Linked DNA regions of Danio rerio. The protein of the gene in region 1 purifies or fractionates together with the protein of each later gene. This does not show direct contact. Links are inferred from orthologs where the notes say so. Each region holds a gene or a part of one and is shown in the gene's direction. Other genes may lie near its edges. The genes, in order: vps50, vps52 and vps51.

The links.
Region 2: the proteins of vps50 (region 1) and vps52 purify together in Homo sapiens (affinity purification with mass spectrometry; 4 studies listed by BioGRID and IntAct, counting the BioPlex papers as one, with this or other methods). This does not show direct contact. The link is inferred for Danio rerio from reciprocal best matches to the Homo sapiens genes VPS50 and VPS52.
Region 3: the proteins of vps50 (region 1) and vps51 purify together in Homo sapiens (affinity purification with mass spectrometry; 7 studies listed by BioGRID and IntAct, counting the BioPlex papers as one, with this or other methods). This does not show direct contact. The link is inferred for Danio rerio from reciprocal best matches to the Homo sapiens genes VPS50 and VPS51.

The regions. Positions count from the first base shown.
Region 1 is NC_133194.1:43,312,780-43,317,227, forward strand, and holds the end of vps50 (syndetin), read left to right. Parts: intron 1-493; coding exon 494-683; intron 684-1,362; coding exon 1,363-1,482; 3' UTR 1,483-3,873; downstream 3,874-4,448.
Region 2 is NC_133194.1:20,885,933-20,889,586, forward strand, and holds part of vps52 (vacuolar protein sorting-associated protein 52 homolog), read left to right. Parts: intron 1-1,499; coding exon 1,500-1,675; intron 1,676-1,758; coding exon 1,759-1,909; intron 1,910-2,686; coding exon 2,687-2,787; intron 2,788-2,992; coding exon 2,993-3,125; intron 3,126-3,654. UniProt on the Homo sapiens protein: Acts as a component of the GARP complex that is involved in retrograde transport from early and late endosomes to the trans-Golgi network (TGN).
Region 3 is NC_133185.1:31,878,432-31,882,673, forward strand, and holds the start of vps51 (vacuolar protein sorting-associated protein 51 homolog), read left to right. Parts: upstream 1-1,288; coding exon 1,289-1,465; intron 1,466-1,640; coding exon 1,641-1,770; intron 1,771-2,894; coding exon 2,895-3,041; intron 3,042-3,186; coding exon 3,187-3,406; intron 3,407-4,242. UniProt on the Homo sapiens protein: Acts as a component of the GARP complex that is involved in retrograde transport from early and late endosomes to the trans-Golgi network (TGN).

The DNA.
Region 1 (4,448 bases):
TCTGTCGTTCCATTCTTGTTCCATTGTTCCTTAATTCTATCTATCTATCTGTCTGTCTGTCTATCTATCTATCTATCTGTCTGTCTGTGTCTGCACGCCCGCCCACCCCCCCTGCCTGTCTGTCTAGATAATCTACAGTTCTGTCATTCTGCCTTTCTATTTTTAGTTCCATAAATATGTCTATCTAGAAACAAAAATACTAATCCCAGCCTTGTCATAAATTATTTCTAACTGGCCACTGCATTGTTAATTGTTTTATATATTTATAGGTCTATTAATTTTCATTCTGGTGGTTTAACGGTCAGTGAGGTTTCAGGTTTGATTAGCAGCAGGGCACGAGGTTAACTGTTAACCGGAGAGTTACACGCACCGTGTAAGACTCATCACCTGGAATTGCTGTTGGGGACGCTGTCTACAGTTAATGAAGCGTAAACTGTCAACAGGTAATGAATGGCTCAGCACTCACCTCTGCTCTTCTCCTGCTGTCTGCCAGCTATGCTAATGTGAAGAAGTGCAGTAATGAAGGACGAGCGCTGATGCAGCTGGACTTCCAGCAGTTCCTCATGAAGCTGGAGAAGCTCACCGACCTCAGACCCATTCCTGACAAGGAGTTTGTGGAGACCTACATCAAAGCATACTACCTGACTGAAAACGACATGGAGCAGTTTATCAAGAACCACAGGGTAAGATGGATGACACATGACAGCTATTTTTGCTATTGCTATTTTTTCACATATTCTTGGTTTGTAATATTTTGTTCTATTTTTCTAATGTTTCAAAACAAACATATTTCTAAGTAAAAAAATTTTACCACCAACTTATCCAGCATATGTTTTACACAGCGGATGGCCTTCTAGCTGCAACCCAGCACTGGGAAGCATCTTTTACCTATTTTTTAATATAAAAAATTTAATAAGACAATATTAAAAACTAAAATAAAAAGGGATAATAATTAAAAATGGTGAATGCAATTTAAAAAAAATTTAAATAATAATTTAAAAATAATGCAAATGAAGGGTAGCTTATAATAATTCGTTTAAACAAAATCACATTTTATTCTTTTCTTAGAAGTGCCTTGTCAAACCTTTTTATGCTAATGTTCGGATCAAACATTCTTGCATATACTGTAAAAATCGAATCTCATATTCTAATGAAGCATTAGCATATTTTATAAATGACGCATCACTAAATGTTTGCCTTTTAAATGTCAAGACAAACGCTGGCTTGGCTCCAAATGTGCTTGTGATGTTGCTTAGTAAGGCATATCCTGCAAGACTGGCTTTAATTCTCCATTAAAGAGATGTATGGTTATGACTGTCATCTCCGCTCGATTTATCACCAGTTTGTTTTGTATTTACCCAGGAGTACTCGATGAAGCAGCTGACTAACCTGGTCAACGTCTGCCTCGGGTCCCACATCAACAAGAAAGCACGACAGAAACTCCTCGCAGCCATTGATGACATTGACCGGCCCAAAAGATAAATCACTGTCATCAAAAATACACCACAAAAGTCACACACACCTACACTGTTACGCGTCCCGTATCTGTCTTGCGTGGTCTGCAGTTTGTTTGTCAACCATGAAAACGTTTACGGTTTCTGTTTGCGTTTTGTTAGGAATGTAAGCAGGACGTGCTGTGACTACATATGAAGCGGCTGTAAAAGATAATGGGTAATGAAAGTGTTATCAGCATCACTTGAATCACAACATGAGTGAATGTCTCAGGCGCTGTTAAACCCTAATTTAAGCAGAGCTGTGGATGAGCAGCTGAATTTTTCCTTGTTGAGGAATATATGAGGGTTTTGTAGCATGAGGCTTTTTAATATGGTATAAAGACGTCCTTTAAAGGGACAGTACACTCAAAAATGAAAATGTTGTCATTTAATCATCTTCCACTTATTCCAAACTTGTATGGGTCACTTTGTACTGTTGAACACAAAAGTAGATATTCTGGAAAATATTTGTAACTGGTAGCCATTGACATCTATTTCATTGGGTGTTAATAGCTACCATTTTACAGCACAGTTTTAAAGAGTAACTTACTAAGTTTTGGATTTCACATTTTTGACTGAACTATCCTTTTCAAAGAACACTCCACTTTTTTTGGAAGTGGTTTTGCCATTTTTGAATCCATTCAGCCAATCTCCGGATCTCTCGGGAGCACTGTTAGTTTAGCTTAGCATAAATCACTGAATCAGATTACACCACTAGCATCTCACCTCAATAATTCAAAAAGGATTTTTGATAAATTTCCTAATTTAAACTTGCCTTTTCTGTAGTTACATTCTTTACTACTAAGATCAAAACTTTCAGTTTTTCTATTTTTGAGTCTTCGGGTCTGACTGGAGCACTTTTAGCTTAGCTTAGCTTACATCATTGAATCAGATTAGACCATTAGTATTTTGCTCAAAAATTCAAAAAGGAGTTTTGATAAATTTCTTATTTAAAACTTGACTTTTTTGTAGTTACATTCTTTACAACTAAGATCAAAACTTTGCGTTTTACCATTTATGAGTCTCCAGGTCTGTTGGGGGCACTTTTAGCTTAGCTTAGCTTACATCATTGAATCAGATTAGACCATTAGCATCTCGCTCAAATAATTCAAAAAGGAGTTTTGATTAATGTCTTATTTAAAGCTTGACTTTACTGTAGTGACATGCTTTACTATTATTGAGTTTTACTAGTTTTGATTCTCAGGGTCTGGCTTGAGCACTTTTAGCTTAGCTTAGCATAAATAATTGAATCACGTTATCCATTAGCACAGGGGTGGCCAACCCTGTTCCTGGAGAGCCACCTTCCTGCAGATTTCAGTTGTTACCCATATTAAACCCACCTGCCTGTAATTATCACGTGGTGTTCAGATCCTAATTAATTGGTTCAGGTTGCATGGGTAGCAACTAAAATCTGCAGGAAGGTGGCTCTTCAGGAAAAGGGTTGGCCACCTCTGCATTAGCATCTTACTCAAAGAATTAAAAAAAAGTGTTTTGATAAATTTCCTATTTAAAGCTTGACTTTTCTGTAGTTACATCGTTTACTAAGACCAACGGAAATTAAATAGTTGCTATCTTCTTAGTTGAAATGGCTAGGCACAATACTCATTTGGTTAAATAATCAAGGAAGTTAGCTGCCATAAAGCAACGATTTTTACACCGCGCCTGATAAAAGTCCCGAGCTTGGTGACTAGCAAACAACGCTGCATAATACTGCTACAGCACTAACGCACTTTTCAAATGCACAAATTAGATGCTAATGCTCTAATCTCATTTAATGATTTATGCCAAGCTAAGCTAAAAGTGCTCTAGCCAGACCCGGAGATCGGCAGAATGAATAAAAAAATTAATAAACTAATTTATTTAAATCTCAAATGGCTTGTAAAATAAGAATATTTCCCCCCCAAAAAAGTGGAGTGTTACTTTTATACACAGTTGGACACAAAATGCATGTGCATAAATATTCACAAACACAGTCGCTCATTTCACTTGCTGTGCGTCACTAGTCTCACCCTGATACACAAACACTTATTTCTTTATATGTTGATTTTATAATTTATGACACTTATCTCTAACCCCAGAGGTGTGCTACTGTTGTCCTTTTTCATGAAACACATTTGTGCAGGAATGTGATTACTTCTTTGTTAATAGTAATGATAATAGGAAGAGACTGTAATAAAACAAACAAAAAAAAACATATAAACCTTCTTGCTAGAAACTATTTATTTCAGATGTCAGAAAAATATGTCTGAAATACAGAACATACTGTATTTTGCTTGCTGGAATGTGTTGCTTTGTTTGTGGTTACTAAACTGTGTAATAATATTCAGCTGTACCAAGTCGAAGGCAAGGACGAACAATAAACATGCTAACATTCTTATCATATGAACTGTTTTTTTATTTATAATAAGCTTTTTGAAAGCTTGATTATATTTGGTTATCTAAAGTTCCATGTGTGGTCAATATATAAATGTTCATCCAATCAATGAACTCGACACCTTAAATATGTAAATAAAGGGTCTTAACCCTGGGTTATAGGAATCTACATTTCCTATTTAAAGACTCTTCTGTAGTTACATTGTTTATGACCAATGTAAAATAAAAAGTTGCTATTCGTCGATACCACTTGAATATGATGCGATTATGTTTACATCATGACCACACATACTGCATATTTGACACCTCAAATATGCAAATAAAAGGACTAGACCCAGGTTTACGGGAATGTACCATGTGAAACATCAGCTTATGAATATTCATGATATTCTTTTAATGCTGATGAAAGTTTAAGCAGTGTGAAACGTGAAATAAGAAACCAGGATTATGTTTACCACCAAGGTTTAGAACAGGGGTGTCAAACTCAATTCCTGGAGGGCCGAAGCCCTGCACAGTTTAGTTCCAACCCTGCTCCAACACACCTAACAAGCGTGAAGGACTCAATTAGTTTGATCAGGTGTG
Region 2 (3,654 bases), about 22 Mb from region 1:
ACCATCTACAAAATCAGTTTTATCACAGATTTAAGACATTTTGAGACTAGATTTGATCAAGTGATTTTACCAGATGTTGTATTTGAAATAAACTATCCTGCTTTTAATGATTACAGAAGGCTTTTTTATGAAATGAACTTTCTTAAGGATATTTTTAACAAAGTAACATCAGTACATTAAAAAAATGTATGTATTTACACATAACAAAATCCTATTTAATTTATGCATTCATTTGTTTGTTGTTTTTAATTGTATATTTATTATTGAAATGTTCTTGCCATGAAAATAGCCTTGGTTGATGACTTGGTTGCTTCTTTACTTAAGTTAATAGCACGGTTGAGCCTGGTTAGTACCTGGATGGGAGAGCACACAGGAAAAACTAGGTTGCTTTTGGAAGTTGTGTTAGGGGTGCTCACCCTTTGGTCTGTGTGGATCCAATGCCCCACAGTTGCTCCGCATCTGTCACCAAAACAGTTTGTGATGTATCAAGAGCCAAAGTATCCAGGGTTATGTCAGCATACCACCAAGAATGATAACCCCCAGCAGTAACTGTGAACGAGGAAGCTGTCTGAAAGGGATGCCAAGGTGCTAACGCAAATTGTATCAAAAAACATAAAACCACAGCTGCCCAACTCATTGCAGAAATAAATGTGCACCTCAACTCTCCTGTTTCCACCAAAACTGTTCGTCAGGAGCTCCACAGGGTCAATAGACATGGCCAGGCTGTTATAAGTAAACCTTTGGTCACATGTGCCAATCCTAAGCGTAAATTTCAATGGTGCCAGCAGTGTAAATCTTGAGAGTTATGGTGTGGACAAGCCCCCAAAAACCGTACCACCCAGACTGTTGTATGCCTAGAATGAAGCATGAGTGTGGATTGGTAATGGTTTGGGCTACAACTTTATAGCATTACCTAGGCTAACTGCTTGTGCTAGATGGGCGAAAAGACTACCAAAGACTACTGAACCGTTCTGGAGAAAGGTTCAAACATTGTATTTTGAAGGCAGCCCCGTGTATGAGGATGATAATACTCCAGTATACACAGCAAGACTGGTGACAGAGTGGTTTGATAGACATGAAAGTGAAGTTGAATTTCACCCATGGCCTGCACAGTCACCTGATCGAAATATTACTTATTTAGAGACAAATGTCTCTAAATCCCTCTGGCCACTGTGCAGAAATTGTATCTAATTCCTGAGAGGAATTATTGCTGTATTGGCTACAAAAGGAGGCCTTGCATTATGCTATAACCAGGTGTTTCAGTTTCATTGCCCAACCGTGTGTGTGTGTGTGTGTGTGCGTGCGTGCGTGCGTGCGTGTGTGTGAGTGTGTGTGTGTGAAGTTACTGGTGAAATTATATGGACAGAGAATCAAGGAATCTTTGTAATGGCATGCATATGAGAAGCTACAATTTGACATTGCCTGCATTACAGTTCGTGTTTAGCATTGGTGCTGCTTGACATTGAACTGCTAAAGTGCTAATTCTTTTTTGTGTCTAGCGTATGGAGGGCATGCTGAGCAGTTTCCAGAGTGACCTGTCTTCCATCAGCAGTGAAATTCAGACATTGCAGCAACAGTCAGTCAGCATGAATATGAGACTCAAGAACCGCCAGGCTGTCCGCAGTCAGCTCAGCCAGCTGGTGGATGAACTAGTCGTCCCTAGCACTATGATCTCGTAAGAAAACATATTTAGCATGTAATTATTGGGACATGCTTTACCTTTTGAAATTACTGAATGAAGAACTGTGTGTGTTGCAGTGTGATTCTTGACAGTCCTGTAACGGAACAGGAATTTTTAGAGCAACTTCATGAGCTTAATAACAAAATCAACTTTGCTAAAGAGCTCAGCTTCAGAGAGACCCTTGCTTGCTCAGATATACAGGACATTGTAGATCGCCTCAAAATCAAAGTGAGAGCAAATCCAAATTTCATTGATAAAGTATTTTGATCATCCTCATAAAGTAAATCTGTGCTTCTCAACTGGTTTGGCCATGTGACCCATATTTTTCTATGTTCATTAAGATGTGACCTACATTTTCTCTCTCTCTCTCTCTCTCTCTCTCTCTCTCTCTCTCTCTCTCTCTCTCTCTCTATCTCTCTTTTATATTCTAGCAAATGTAATTTACAAAAAATGATTAGCAAACAAATACTCCATTTTAGTTAACATGCATATCAACTGAAAGATTCGCTGGCCCAAACTACAATTGTTAATAAATATAACAAAACTAATAAATAAATTGAAAAACACATAACATATTACATTTATAAAACCAACCTAAACTATAAAAGGTATGGAAATGCTCAGCATTGGTTAGTACAGGATAACAGCTGGCATCCCAGAAATATTAGTTTTTCTGAGTTGAGAGATATTTTATATCATAACAAGTAATAAAAATAACATTAGAACTTTGACACTGCTTTTCAACATTTTTTCAGCAACCGCAGACAGTGAACTGTGAGAATGTTTTTTTCAAGCACTTGGGCCTTTCTTACAGAAGCATGAACAGCTTCACACATCTTCAAAAATCAAAAAGTGCATTACCAAATCACTCCATGACCTACTCAAAATGGATTTGTGACCCATTTTAAGTCACAAAAAACCAATTGAGAAACACTTTAATAGGAATACAAGAATACAAAATTTAGGTTTGTGTTGCAGTTTTTTAATTTTTAATTTTGATCACAGGCTGTCACAAAGATCCGGGAGTTCATCCTACAGAAAATTTACTCTTTTAGAAAGCCAATGACCAACTACCAGATCCCCCAGAACACATTACTCAAGTACAGGTACAAAACACACTCCTTTAAACTAAACCAAACAAAGACTTTGGTTACATCAGAACAAGCAACAGGGGTTATTAGTAAAATTTGTCCTGGTGAATAGCAATTATTAACTCTATTAAATTAAATTCTTAAATAATTAATTTATAGATATTTTATCAATACAATATGTTACACCCCCCTAAATATGTCTGTTTCTGATCATTTATAGGTTTTTCTACCAGTTCCTGTTAGCCAATGAGAGAACAGTTGCAAAAGAGATCCGGGACGAGTATGTGGATACCATGAGCAAAATCTACTTAAGTTACTTCAAGTCATATAGTGGCAGACTGCTGAAAGTCCAGGTGAAATTGGTTTAAGATAGCAAAAGGTTTTCAAAATCTAAAAAAATTGTAAATTTGAAGAAAAAAATGTCCATGGAAGTCATTTTGTACAGGTTTAAATCCCAGGACAATATCTGAATGCATAAATTATGTATTCAGAATTGTAACGGAGACACTTACCAAGTAACTAAGACACTTACAAAGTATCAACTCAGATCTTCATAAAATGAATAGAAACATATTTAGCATTAAATAATTAATTCTAATAATTAATAGTCAATTCTCTGCTAAAAACTATTTGCCTTGAAAGTGTCATGAATTTAAACACAAGGAGGCTACTGTGTGTATAAAATATGATATTGTGTAGTCTTATAATGTGCATGTATGATGAAGCTAATGTAATATGCAAGATTATAATATCAAGTGGCTGTACAATTTAAATAACTTCACTTATTAATGCATACATAAAACACGTGCATATACATCTAAAAATTACTCACACACCTGAGCTCGCTATTTCCTGGAGTTTGTAATTGTCACAATCAGCTGT
Region 3 (4,242 bases), on another chromosome or scaffold:
AATTTGTTTTAATTATGCAATAATATTGTATTAATTGTCATAAATTGTTTATAAAAAACAATTGGTAACATTATCAAAGTGAAGCCAAAATTTCCCATCTATGGCTGCTGTCATCTTTTGATTTGAGCAATGAAGTATGCTTAATTTGGAGCCGAAGTCTGCGCAGAATTGATCTTAAAGGTCCTGTGAAGTGCTTTGAAATATGCATTTTTATTAGATGTTTGACGTAACCTTTACTGAAACACGAAGAGAGGGTGGGACTTAGTTTAGCTCCTCCCCTTTTTGTTTTTTCAGCTCTGCCTGTGAGAGTGGTTGAGCTCAAGTGCATCAAATGAAAAGTGTCTTGAAGGGGGCGGGGCTTGTCAGATACTAGAGAGCATTTGATTGGTCAGAAGATTTGATAAGTAACTAAAAGTATGTGGTGACATGAAGAAAGGGGTCTGGCAGACTCGGTGAAGATGCAATCTGAGCTGCATCCAATGCTTTTTAATGCGCTCACCCAACCCTACCCCTCACAGTGGTCACTAGTTCCGTTAAGTGCATTGTGTCTGACATTGCATCTCTGAGCGATGCACTTTCAACTTGCATCATGAAGGCTGCATTCAGATACTAATGGATGTGAATAAAACTGTTTATCTGTTTAGGCGGAGGAGACAAACTGCAAGCTTTGGATGTTTTTGGATCTTCTAAATGCTGATTTTGTCACTGTTTTAAAGAGCCCTAGCTTATAGATATCCTTAAGACTAACACACTGATAATAACATCTAAAAAACTTTTTTTTTTTTTTTATGGGGCCTTTAAATGGGGTATGTAGGTGGCAGCAAATTCTAAACTCCCAGACCCCCAAACACAAGCACACCACACCTCTCTTTATAGCATCAAATAACCTAAGTAAAAAAGCACTCTTACTAAAATAAATATTTTATCACACGTTAGAATAATACAAACCGAATATAAAAAGGTGGATATATATATATATATATATATATATATATATATATATATATATATATATATATATATATATATATATATATATATATATATATATATATATATATATATATATACATACAGTTGGTGAAGATGCAGCCTAGTTCGCGCCCCCGGACTTTTACTTTGAAATACTATCTACAGTAGCGCCATTTTGGCTCAAAGCCCTAGCCTCATCAACAAACTGAGTTGGCAGGTAGCAACCACAGCTCTTGCAACAGATGTTTTGTTGACATCTGTCATTCATTCATTTAATAATTCTCGCTTTGACACCAGACTATAGTTAATAGTTGAAATGAGCTCAGCCACAACACCACCGGACTCGGACCCGGCCCAGCGGCGGCGGGTTCACAGTATGCTGAAGCTCTACTACGGCCTGAATGAGGAAGGAAAAGCCACAGAACAAGCCGAGTCTCTGGATCCTTGCGATATCAACGGACCGCATTTCGACCCAGAGATTTATTTAAATAAGGTAGAGTAGCTAATAGTGACGAATGTCCTGGCTTTAATATTTAGTTTTTAGGGTCACCAAATTGAGAGTGCTGTCATTATGTGCCACATATGCAATATTCTTCCAGTAATATATAGGCTAATATAGGCTAAATGTCCCGTTGTTTGACTTAAAAAATGTGCTTTTTGTGTTTCAGTTGAGGAAGGAGTGTTCTCTGACTGAGCTGATGGACCACGAGAGCTGCATGGTCAAGCAGATCAGATCTCTGGACAGTGACATGCAAACCCTGGTTTATGAAAACTACAACAAGTTCATCTCAGCCACAGGTTAACAAATGACCTTTAAAATACAAAAAAAAAAAAAAAAAAAAAAACAGACATTAAGGAATTTCAGATTTTACTAAGTCATAGTTGTGCCTGTAGAAATCAGAACTGCTATAAGAATGTAATTATATATGAGCAATTCCTGCGTTATGAATGTGACATTTGCAGTAAAAACATACATTCACATAGAAAGTATATGTTAACATTATTTTGAAACATCTGTTTATATTTTCTAGAACAACTAACCACAGAGTTAAGGGACTAGAAAAATATCAATCTGTAAACAAGTTTTGTATTTTAAATAAGGAAAATAAACATGCGTGATGAATGTGACCATAAAGACTGTGAGTTTGCAGTATACAACATACTTTGTAGAAATTCTGTTAATTAAACTGCACAACCCAGAAGAAATAATGCTAATCAAAAGGCTCACAGATGGCTCTCTATAGAACAAAAATAATTGACTTTATTTTACTTGTCATTTTTGCATTTCTGAGGAAGAGGTGTCGTTATGGATGTGACATCTCTTTGTTATGGATGTGACTGATGTGAAATTTTCACTTGTGTGACTTTGGTAAATCAAATATAATAGTTTGAAAACATTGACAGGGACATTTTTGAGTATTTTTGCAGTACTGTAAAATACAAGCCTACACAAAAAAACGTAAAAACAACTTCCATGTTTTGGTGAAAACCTTTTTTTTTCATGACAAGGTTAACATTTGCATGGAATTGCTCATATAAAACCACAGTTTGTGTTTTTAACTTAAAAATCATAGCACACCTAAATGCAAAACTTAAATTAAAAAGCGTTATCCAGAACATATAGGATATTCTGGGCCATGAAGGATCTATCAGTTATATCATCTTTACTCTGGGAAACAATATAAGCATTTGATGGCTACATTTAAAGAAGCATTTGAATTTAGACAGCCTTTGATGGTGCACTTATATGGGCATTTATATGTGGCCTTCAAAGAAATAATTCTCTGAGATGCAGTTACTATCAGAATGGCTGCCTTATAGTTCATTTAATGGTGTCATTCATTTTTGTTTGGACATTGATGCATCATACGAGTTTCATAGCCTTTTCCAGTTCATGTTAAAATGTATTGATTATTCCTCAGACACAATCAGAAAAATGAAGAATGACTTTAAGAAGATGGAGGATGAAATGGACTGCCTGTCTGCAAACATGGCAGCTATCACGGAGTTTAGTGCTCGCATTAGCGGGACGCTGCAGGATCAGCATGCACAGATCACTAAATTATCAGGTATAAATAATAAATTATCCATTTCTGATTCATTTTACAGCTTTCAATTGGTAGTAGAACAATCGTTATTACTGAACATTATTTCATTTCTGTCTCAACTTCAAGTCTCAAAAATCAACTCCTGAATCTTTCACCTTTTGTGTAGGTGTTCATACTCTTCTCCGTAAACTGCAGTTCCTGTTCGAGCTGCCAGCAAGGCTCAATAAGTGTCTGGAGCTGCAGGCCTATGCCCAGGCAGTGAGCTCCCATCGGAGGGCACGCTGTGTATTGCAGCAGTACAGTCATATGCCCTCTTTTAGGGGCATCCAAGATGACTGCCATGTCATTATGGAGCAGCTCGCTCAACAACTGCGACAGAAATTCAGGTCTGTGCTGTGAAGCATGTCGTGGTATATTTGGCATATGCAGTAGAATTTCATCCTAATTAAAAATAGATTTTATAGAGTAATTAAGGAACCTTTTAACACATACAAAGATAATAAGATATAGAATAGATATACATTTCTTTGAGTACATTATATTGCATAACTGCAGATTAAATATGTATATGCTTGGCACAGCTATACTTTCCACCTTACGCACACCTTAACATTTTATGGTTTTGATTGTAATCTTACAACGTGCACCTTTTGTAAAGCTGCTTTGGAACAATAATTATTGTGCAAAGCACTTATAAAATGGAATGCGTATTACATGTACACTCATTTGGCAACCAAAATAATAGGACCATATGTGCACAGGTGTGCCTGGTTTCTTTACAAATTGATATTGCCATCTTCTGGCCAAGCATAAATACAGTTTTTTTTGTCTTTCTCAGATCTCTGTGAATGAAAACCTTCACTAAATTATTGAAACAAGCCTCTTCTGCCAGATATTATATAAAGAACAAGATGAAATGGATGAAGCAGTGTTGTTATTACTAAAACAAATTTATTAGAAGTTTATTATAAATTAGAAGTCATTGTTGTTAAATGATATAATGCTTAAATAAAGTTTAAATGGGAAAGGGTGGGACATAGTGTAGCTCCTCCCCTTTTTTAAAAACAGCCAATAGTGTTTTGTTTGATCACCGCTCTGCCATTGAGAGTGGTTGAGCTCAAGTGCATCAATTGAAAAGCAAATCAGAAATCACTTGAGGGGGCGGGGCTTGTCAAATACTAGAGAGCATTTGATTGGTTGTGATTTGATGAGAAACCGTATT